Mus musculus: one gene and its partner. The protein of the gene in region 1 interacts with the protein of each later gene in a pairwise test. Links are inferred from orthologs where the notes say so. Each region holds a gene or a part of one and is shown on either strand. Other genes may lie near its edges.

What was found. The genes of interacting proteins can lie anywhere in the genome.
Region 2: the proteins of Tfip11 (region 1) and Zmat2 interact in binary tests that used the Homo sapiens proteins (3 or more experiments, as listed by UniProt). The two-hybrid records come from large-scale screens. The link is inferred for Mus musculus from reciprocal best matches to the Homo sapiens genes TFIP11 and ZMAT2.

Annotation. Positions count from the first base shown.
Region 1 is NC_000071.6:112,324,350-112,329,299, reverse strand, and holds the start of Tfip11 (tuftelin-interacting protein 11), read right to left. Parts: upstream 2,932-4,950; 5' UTR 2,827-2,931; intron 1,816-2,826; 5' UTR 1,630-1,815; intron 1,339-1,629; 5' UTR 1,330-1,338; coding exon 1,118-1,329; intron 1-1,117. UniProt on the Homo sapiens protein: Involved in pre-mRNA splicing, specifically in spliceosome disassembly during late-stage splicing events. Intron turnover seems to proceed through reactions in two lariat-intron associated complexes termed Intron Large (IL) and Intron Small (IS).
Region 2 is NC_000084.6:36,792,337-36,797,016, forward strand, and holds the start of Zmat2 (zinc finger matrin-type protein 2), read left to right. Parts: upstream 1-1,586; 5' UTR 1,587-1,605; coding exon 1,606-1,623; intron 1,624-1,960; coding exon 1,961-2,054; intron 2,055-2,704; coding exon 2,705-2,828; intron 2,829-3,700; coding exon 3,701-3,774; intron 3,775-4,162; coding exon 4,163-4,308; intron 4,309-4,680. UniProt on the Homo sapiens protein: Involved in pre-mRNA splicing as a component of the spliceosome.

The DNA.
Region 1 (4,950 bases):
GCTCGAAAGAGAATTCCTTAGAGAGAGAGGCCCTCAATAATCTTACATTTAACATTTAAAAAATATTATATGGGGGGGGGGCCTAACCACATGACACTGTGGGTGCCCGATGAGCCAAAGGCTCGATTCCCTGAAGATGGAATTAGAGGCACTTGTGAGCTGCCTGAGGTGGGCACTGGCTGGGAGCCACACTCAGGTCTGCAATAGCAATTGAGTTCAATCTCAATTGCTCCTGGGTCCTCTTCCAGCCCACATTTTACACTCGTGGGGTCTGTTCGATTCAAACTATAACTGAAGATTTGCCACTGTCAGTAGGGTTGAGTATAAATTCAGACTAGGATGTAATAATCTTACTTCCTTTGGACGCTTTCAAAAATGCCATTATTGCTCTGTGCAGACAATTTGTAGAGCATCTCGTCCCTTTCCCCTTCCCTGTAGGAATCTGGTGACTGAACCCAGCTAGCCAGGTGTGCATGGCAACAACCTCCGAGGCATCAAACTGGGCCCCCTTTTACAACTGAAAAGACTGTGTTAGCTTAGTGTCTGCTTTGCTTTAGAGTGGTACAGCACTTATCTAGCATGCCTGTAAACACACACACACACACACACACACACACACACACACACACAGTGTTTGTTTTAGATACTATTTCAAGGATAAAAGTCAGAACAACTCAAACAGATAAAAATCCTAAGTAAAATTAATCAAAACATTCTGAGTGTAGTTAGGTGGGGAGACTTGAGACAGCATCTTAATGTGGACCCCAGGCTGTACTACCACTCTCCCCTGTGGACCTACTCACTTTTCTACCTCCGTTTGGTCCAACAGCGTTTTCTCCAGAGCACCCTCTCTAAACTCCCTGTTCTCTAGTGCCCTGTGAGTGCTCCCTGACACAGCATGGCCCCACAGCTGCCATGCCTGTGGTGGGTCAGCACTTCCCTATCCATAAGTAGCCCTGATCCCATCACACAGTAACTGCTGAGGGGGAGCTCGCCACCCCAGCTCAACAACACATAGCAAGATGCTGTAGCACCCGGACTCTACAAGGGCAGAAAACTCTTCTGGGATGCCTTCCCGATCCTCCAGACCCAGGGCATGCAGCCCAGCACACAGTACCTTTTGCCTCCAAAGCTGGGCCTCTCCTCGTCCGAGTCTCGCTCCGCCCACACCCCGTAGGTGGCCTCCTCTTTGGTCTGCCAATGGCGCTGCCGGTTGGGGTTGAACTCATTCTGGAGATCCCAGTCGGTGATCTCAAAGTTCTCCCTCTCATCGTCATCGTCATCATCAAGGTGGCCTTCGCCATCCCGGTACAAGTGGGACAGAGACATGGCCAGTCACTAGAGGACGGTGACAAGAACAGCACTGTGAGAACCTGGGGCTAGCAGAAGATCCGCCAGTGTCAAAAAGCTATTAATGAGCCTCATGATCCAACTCAGTAAAGCAGCCATTAAACAAAGGGCAAAATGACCAGCTCCGTGACAAGTGAGACAAGTCAGACCCAGCCATCCGAAGGGGGCCTAACGCACAATGCCTTGTCAGAGTCAATCACCATGCACGCGTGGGGCGGGGCCACAGAATGACAGGCACATATGCCACAGAAAGGAAGCAACAGCTCTAAATGTTATTACCTCAGAAACCAGGTTGGTCTTTTTACTTCTCCAGGAAAAGTTGTATCTAGCCAATTTGCAGTTCCAGGGAAACTTCAGAGCATTTTCTGAAATACTATTTCCACGGGACTGAAGGTTTCCTTCCCTGAACGGCTTCTACGGTACTGGAAGGTTGCAGTCTTTCTGAATGCCACTTTGCAGTCACTCCTAGAGGGTAGGGAAAAAACAGTGTTCTACCCAGGTAGCTATTCATCTCTCTCTCTCATAACTGCATTCATTCAGTTCCAGGAGAAGCTTGTAAGGACTGATTAAGATGATACTTTCGAAAAACAAAAGCTCCAACACTTTGGAGGCAGAGAGGCAGATCCATCTCTCTAAGTTCAAAGCCAGCCTGGTCTCAAAACCGACAAAACAACAACGAAAGCTCCGCTCCCAGTAGGTGCTCAAGAAACAGCACCCTTACATCTTTGACTCTAGCAGTAGGGAGGCAGAGACCAGGGGGGTCTGAGTTCAAAGCCAGCCTGGTCTACAAAGCAAATTCCAGGGCAGCCAGGGCTGGCTGCTAAAGAGAAATTCTGTCTTGAAAACAAAAACAAAAAACAAAACAAACAAACAAACAAAAAACAGAAACGGGGGGAAAGGGAGGAAAAAGGAAAAAAAAAAAAAAGCATCTTCTTCCACTCCATGATCGGGTTTCAGGTTCACACTCATTACAAGTCAGGACTGCGAAGTGAATCCTTCAAAATGATTGTGAAAATCATTAACACTTAACACCCCAGCCTGAGTCTAAATCGCGCCTCTATGAACACCTGTGAGTGTGGTTATCACATTCAAAGGTCCCGACCCGACACTGTGTGCATTGCACAGTAACATCCTCACTATGTGACACCAGTGACTGACAGCGTGAAAACGGCTCCGCGGTGACTAACAGCTCCCCCCCCCCCCCGCTGCTCCTCCTCCTCCTCCTCCTCACTATGCACCGGCGAAACTCAACAGGTTCCGACCCCAGCAACCAGCACATGTTGAGTTTCCTCAAAGGAGCAGGAAGCCCTAGGCCCACTCAATTACAGCACCGCCACCTCCCCAGCACAGGGGACAGGAGACGCTCAGCTCAATGTCAGCAGCGGGCCCGGAGCGCAGGGAAACCGTAAAGCCGTCGTCACGGAGCCTCGGAGCCTCAGCCCGCGCTCCCGGGACGCCACCCCGCCGCCTGCTCACCTCGCTCAGCATCCGCGAGAGCCACACAGCCTTCGCCCAGCGTCCCCGAATCTGCGAGGGTCCCGCCAGCCCAAACCCGGATGTGGCCTTTACCGGCGCATCGGAAATACGTCATCGCTCAGAGGCGGAAGTGGCGCGCTGTTGCCCCGGCAGCGACTTCACGCCGGAGGGGGCGTGTCTGCAACCCGGAAGGGCCGGTGATCCCGCCTCGCGCTGCTTCTGGTTCCCATCGGAACTGAGGCTGAGTGGCCGTCTCGTTCCAGGGCGAGCCGTCGCCAGGCACTGGAGTCTTACTTGGCGTTACCAGCGTCACGAGGACACTGAGAGATTAAAATGTCCTCGCGACCCCATGTCGAGTTCTCTCCAGGAAGCAGTTTTATTGTTCTCCTCTTTGCTCTAGTTATTTCTCTGTCGCTGGGAAAGAACGGAGTTGGGGTTTCTTGTTGGTTTGATTTGGTTTTGGTTTTGTGAATTTTCAAGACAGGGTTTCTCATCCTGCCGTGGTGGCGCACGCCTTTAATCCCAGCACTTAGGAGGCAGAGACAGGTGGATTTCTGAGTTCGAGGCCAGCCTGGTCTACATACAAAGTGAGTTCCAGGACAACCAGGGCTACACAGAGAAACCCTGTCTCGAAACCCCCCACCCCCAAAAAAAAGAAAGAAAGAAAGACAGGGTTTCTCTGTGTAGCCCTGACTGTCCTGGAACTCATTGTGTAGACCAGGTTAGCCTCGAACTCGGGAGATCTGCCTGCCTCTGCCTCCTGAGTGCTGGCCTTAAAGGCGTGTGCCAACGCGACCCACAAAGAGCATATGTCATCTTTTTACACATCTTACAAATCTATACATAGTCTGGTGCCATCTCTGGTTCTGAAACTAATTTGTTTTCTCTAATACCCTAAAAGGCTGGGTCCTGGTGGGTTTTGTTGTTGGCTGGACTTATTTTTGTTTTCCCCTGTCAGCTTGATACACACTAGAGATATCTAGGAAAAGGACTCGGTGCTTCCATCGGATGGCCTGTAGGCAAGACTGGTGTCGTTTGCTTGATTCATGATTGATGTGGGACGGCCCAGCCCATTGTGGGTGGGGCCTCCCCCTGTGGTCCTGGGTGCTGTAAGCACAGGGAGCAAGCCAATAAGCAGCGTTCCCTCCGTGGCTTCTACTTCAGTTCTTTTTAAAAATGTCTTTGGACTGTAATCTGTAAAGCAAATAAATCAGTTTCCTTCCCAAATTGCTCTTGGGTATGGTCTTTACAATACAGCAATAAAACCTAACCAAAAAACATGCAGGAGGATTTGTTAGTGAGGCTCTTGGGGAGTCCGTCAGAGCCAATGTGATACTGTGGGATCAGGGTCCCTTCTTGGGGTTTTATGGTCACGTGAATGAAAGCATCTAAGAACTGATACAGAGAGCTGAGGGCGGGCAGTGGGGCCAGGGTTGGGGGTGGGGGCGGGAACGGCAGGCAAGTTGTAACTCATAGCTGCCGGGAGGAGAACGAAGAAGGGAAGAGGCATGGTGGTGTGGGAGAGCCAGTGTGGAGGTCGGCCACGAGCAGGCAGGGGGCCTTCAGCGCATGAGCAAGGGATCCCAGTACAGGAAAGTTGAAAGCATACTTGTGTTGGGAAAGAATATCCCTGCGTGTGAACCAAGTGAAAGTAAACCAGGAAGGCAGTGACCCCAAGTTGGCAGACAAGCACACGCAAGCTGCAAGGGTACTTCCGTTCCGTTCCATTCCATTCTGACACACGTGCTATCGTGCTATCAGGTGACTCATCCCGTTGGTAGGAGCTCAGCGTCATTCTGATGGGATTGGCACATCATAAACCACACCAAGAGGAAGCTTATGACCAGCAAGTATCAAAAAATGCCTGGTATTTGGGGTTTGACATAAACTACAAGAGTGTCCCAAGATGGGGCTGGGAGCACGGACTATGGAATACTGGACCTTGGGCAAGCTAGCCATCTTTGATCAAAACAAAACAAACAAACAAACAAACAAACAAAAACTTCTCACACTTAGGCTGTGACCAGAATCCAAGTGGAAAAGACTAGAAAGGAAAAGAAAGCAGGTGACACACACCTTTAATCTCAGCACTGGGGGAGGCAGAGGTGGTTGGATCTCAGTGAA
Region 2 (4,680 bases), on another chromosome or scaffold:
GCCTAGCACTTGGGAAGTGAAAGCAGGAAGATCGGAAGTTCAGAGTCAGCTTTGGTGCCAGGCAAGGTGGCACAGGACTTTAATCCTAGCACAAGGGAAGTAGAGACAGGCCAATTATCTGTGAGTTATGGGTTGGCCATAGCTGCATAGTGAAACCCTGTATAAAAATTTATTCAGCCTTGGATTCACATGAGATGCTCTCTCAATAAAACAAAACAAAACAAAACAAAAGACCCTTTGCCTGACGCTACATACATTTAATCTCAGCAGTGAAGTGGTAGGGCAGAGGCAGGGGAATCTCTTGAGTGTAGGGTCACTTGAATAAGAGTAAAGATTAAAACTAGCAGGACATAAGAGGGGTTTAATGTTTAGACAGCAGGTTGGATAGATGAAGAGGGTAAGATGCAGGGGGAATTTGGGGAACGCAGCCTCAAAGAGGGAGGTCTTTAGGGGAACACAGAAGGGCAGAGGTCCTGTGACTCTAGTAATATACCAAGGAATCTCTACAAAGAGATTTTCAGGCCAGCCAGGGCCAAATAGTGAGACCTTGTCTACAAACATACCACACCTATAATCCCTGTAATCCCTCTTAGAAAGTGGTGGCAATAAGTTCAGGCCAAAACTGAACTCTAATTTGCCTAGCAAACCGTATTTTAAAGACTAAAACACTTGTGACTGTAGATGCCCCATTCACCAGCATGTACTATGAATGTGGCTCTAAATTATGCACAGAAGACAAGTAGTTTTACATTGTCCCCTCCACCACTACTACCCCTGACCCCCACCACCACCCCTGCGCCGCCAAAAAAATTAGTGCTACTTTTTGGTTAAACTCATTTTGATGTCTGGAGAACATCTAAACTCATTTCATTTATACAGTACAATTTAATCTTGAAAACAGAATCAGCCAACACCCTAGAATGAAGCATTCGCCACTCTAACGAGTGCTTAAAATATGTTGTTTGTGGAAGAGGTTTGCTAGGCAGGAAATTGCCTAGCAGGGAACCTAGCTCAATTGGTAGAATTGAGCTTGATAGCATGAATGAAGCCTCTAGGACCACATGAACCGGTCGTGGTGGTACATGCCCCATAAATTCAGCACTTGGGAAGTAGAGGCAGGAGAGATCAGAAGTTCAAGATTAGAGACTATATAGCCAATTAGAGTTCAGTTTTGGCTACCTGAGAACCTGTCTTTAAAAAAAAAAAAAAAACCAAAACAACCAAAACTAGAAATCCGGTAAAAAACAAAACAAAACAAAGAAACCCCTAGAAATCAGGTAAAGTTGGTTAGATCATGGAGCACTATTTTCAAAACTCTGATTCTTTGCATAATAGAAGAGATGAGCTATTCTTCTGGGCTTGTTTTTAAAGCCAGAGAGAAAAACGTTGGCCCGTGCCCTTACTTCCGTGTAGCTTCACACTCCCTTTGCGCCTGCGCCATCTCCCTGGAGCAGAGGGCGGGGCCAACAGGACTGCCTTAGAATCGCTCCAGTCCTAACGCAGTCAGAATGAGAGGCTCGGATCTTATTGGAGCGTGATCTTGCCTTCTGGCTCCAGGGCGCGTTTTACTGCACTTTACGGCTTCCCATTCACTTCGCTGTGAAGATGGCGTCTGGCAGCGGGGTAGGTGTTGGTGTGACGAGGTTTGAGGGGTCTGGGGGATGGCTTTTCAGAGCTAAATAGAGACAGGCTGTGAGATTTGACTGACTTCCTGACACCTCTTCGCGATCTCAGGGTTCAGGTTCGAGAGCTCCCCCGTAAGGCCTTGGCGCAGGGACAGTGGAATCTCGGAAGTCTCTCGGGTTGGGGGTCCCGAGTCCACCAGACCCCTGGGCGTTCCAGAGAGACTTCTCTTCCGAAAGGTCCTGGGGCCGCCCCGGTGGCCGTTAGGCGGTTCCCTTAGTTTCTCCAGGGCAACAGGCACAGCTACGTATCTTGAGCACCTTTTCCCCCCCTACAGACAAAAAACTTGGACTTTCGCCGAAAGTGGGACAAAGATGAATATGAGAAGCTCGCGGAGAAGAGACTCACAGAGGAGAGAGAGAAGAAGGATGGTGGGTGCTCGCTCCACGAAGGGATAAGGGGACGGTAGAGATGATGCTGTGGCTAGAGAAGGAATGCCTCAGCAACAGGATAGATAAATCACTTGCAGTTAACGAGGCAAACAAAACAAAACAAAACAAAACAGAACAAAACAAAAGCCCTAAAGCTTTTTCCTCTCCTTTTTACGTGAGCTTCCCCTAGGCGTAGCCCATATTCCAAATCAAATCAAATCAAAACCTCCCAAACAAGCGTGTCCAGCTGCTTGGGTCTTAGTTGATTCCAGATGTAACTGCATGAAAACATTGAACATACGCTACTCGGTGTGAGTACCCCTCTTTTGAAAGGGTCACCTCCAGGAAAAATTCAGAACTCCTCAGTTCAACTAGACAACACATAGGAAACACTGTTTACATTTGCTGGCTTTAAAGGGAGAAAAGCTCTTGAGAGTTGGCAGTACCATTGCAAGTCTGAGGCCAGCTTGGTCCACATAGTGACCAGGCCTATGTCTATATAAGTCCAGGCCAATTAGAGTCTTTCCTAGCCTCTTTGAATTGCTACATAAAGTACCTGTTGTGTCCGTTCTTTGAGGAATTAAAAAGAAAAAAAAAAAAAGCATGAGTAGTCTTCTGAATTTTGGGGTTCATAATCTTTTTCCTTTCAGGGAAACCAGTGCAGCCTGTCAAGCGGGAGCTTCTGCGGCACAGGGATTACAAGGTGGACCTGGAGTCCAAGCTGGGGAAGACGATTGTTATCACCAAGACGACCCCACAGTCTGAAATGGGAGGGTGAGTTGCTTCCTGTCCGACTCTTAATACCACAGCTGGCCTAATAAACTGTATTGGTTTTTAGGAAGTGTTGAGGAGAATCCTGGGCCCAGGGATGGCCACCGTTCTGACCATAACCTGATTCTTTGTCTTTCTTTGTCCCCTGAAGTTTGTAGCCCACTCGGTCCTATTTCTAGGAGGGGTGGTTCTCTGGGCTTCTTCCTATTGGTACTGTAATACTTCCCTGATATCTTCAGGGGGGCTATATAGTCTGTTAGAAGACCTGAAGGCTCGGGGTGGGTTTTAGGTGGAGCTGTTAACTATAGTTTTTGTGCACCAAGATTGTGACCTATCGAAGAGTTTCACGGACCTTGTCACCCTTTGCCACCATTCCTTAAAGTCTGTCAAAGTTACAACTTACATCAGGAGACTCAGACAGATAGCAATCCACTGTTGTGATTCCTTTGCTGTGTACATTAAATAGTTAGCAGCATAACATAATAATAGCTCATAGTTTCTGTGGGCAAGGAATTGAGGGGTGGTCACCTTGGAGGTTCTGGACCTGGGTCTCTAATAAAGCCGCAGTTGTGGAATTGACTAGGTTTGCATTCGTTGGGGCTTAAATAAAGTTAGAAGGTCCTCTTCCAGGCCCTCCCGTGCCTGTGGTTCGGAGGCTCAAGTTTATTCTCTGGGCCTGCTTGTAAGGTCATTCACAATGAAGTGTAAAGAGGGACTTTCCCTAAAGCAAGTCATGTGAAGTTTGTCTGTTTTGTTAATTGAGACATTAATTAGACATCATCTAATTTTACCTAGAGATTTGAGTTTCTTTCCTGAAAACAGTAAGATCCTTAGAAACCAGATTGACCCATGTGCTGTTTCTTCCCATTTGTCAGCTACTACTGCAATGTCTGTGACTGTGTGGTGAAAGACTCCATTAACTTCCTGGACCACATTAATGGAAAGAAACGTAAGGCATGGAGGTAGTTGGTGGCTGGAGCTGGGTTGGGTTTTAAAGGTGTGCTGGAGGGCAGGTGTGGTAGAGTGGTTTTCTGGGGCCTTTCGTTTGTTCGTTTGTTTGCTTGCTTGCTTCTGAGTATCCCTGGCTGTGTGCTACCTGTGCATGACCACAGAGGCCAGAGGAGGACGTTGGCTGGCCTTGATGATAATCTGCCCAGTAAATAGGAGCAGGTGAGGCTGAGAGCTTCTTTTAGCCATAGTTATTTTTGTTGTGTACTTTATTATGAAAAGGTAAACAAGTAAACAAACCTAAAAAAGCCAGGGCGAGACTTTCCCGGGGGGGGGGGGGGTGGCTGAGGATGTTATAATGACTTGTCTCCGTTGTTAACCTCACCCAGATCAGCGAAACCTGGGTATGTCCATGCGCGTGGAACGCTCCACTCTGGATCAGGTAAAGAAGCGTTTTGAGGTGAACAAGAAGAAGATGGAAGAGAAGCAGAAAGATTATGATTTTGAGGAAAGGATGAAGGAGCTCAGAGAAGAGGTGAGGCTCTGCTAACCCTGCTCCCCAGCTTGGAGTGTTTTCCTTGTGGACCGAGGGTGGCCCTCTTCCTCCGCTCACTCTCCTAGCTCCAGTTTTGTTCCTGGGTTTCTTTGTACTAGGGCATCTTTGTTCGAGATCCATGAGAAACAGCTCAAAGCCTATCCAGTTTTCTTTGGCTTTTTAGATTAGATCTCTTGGGGTGGGGAGGGGGGGCAATTATTCATTCATTGATTTTTTTTTTTTTTTTTTTTTTTTGAGACAGGGTTTTTCTGTGTAGCCCTGGCTGTCCTGGAACTCACTTTGTAGACCAGGCTGGTCTCGAACTCAGAAATCTGCCTGCCTCTGCCTCCCGAGTGCTGGGATTAAAGGCAT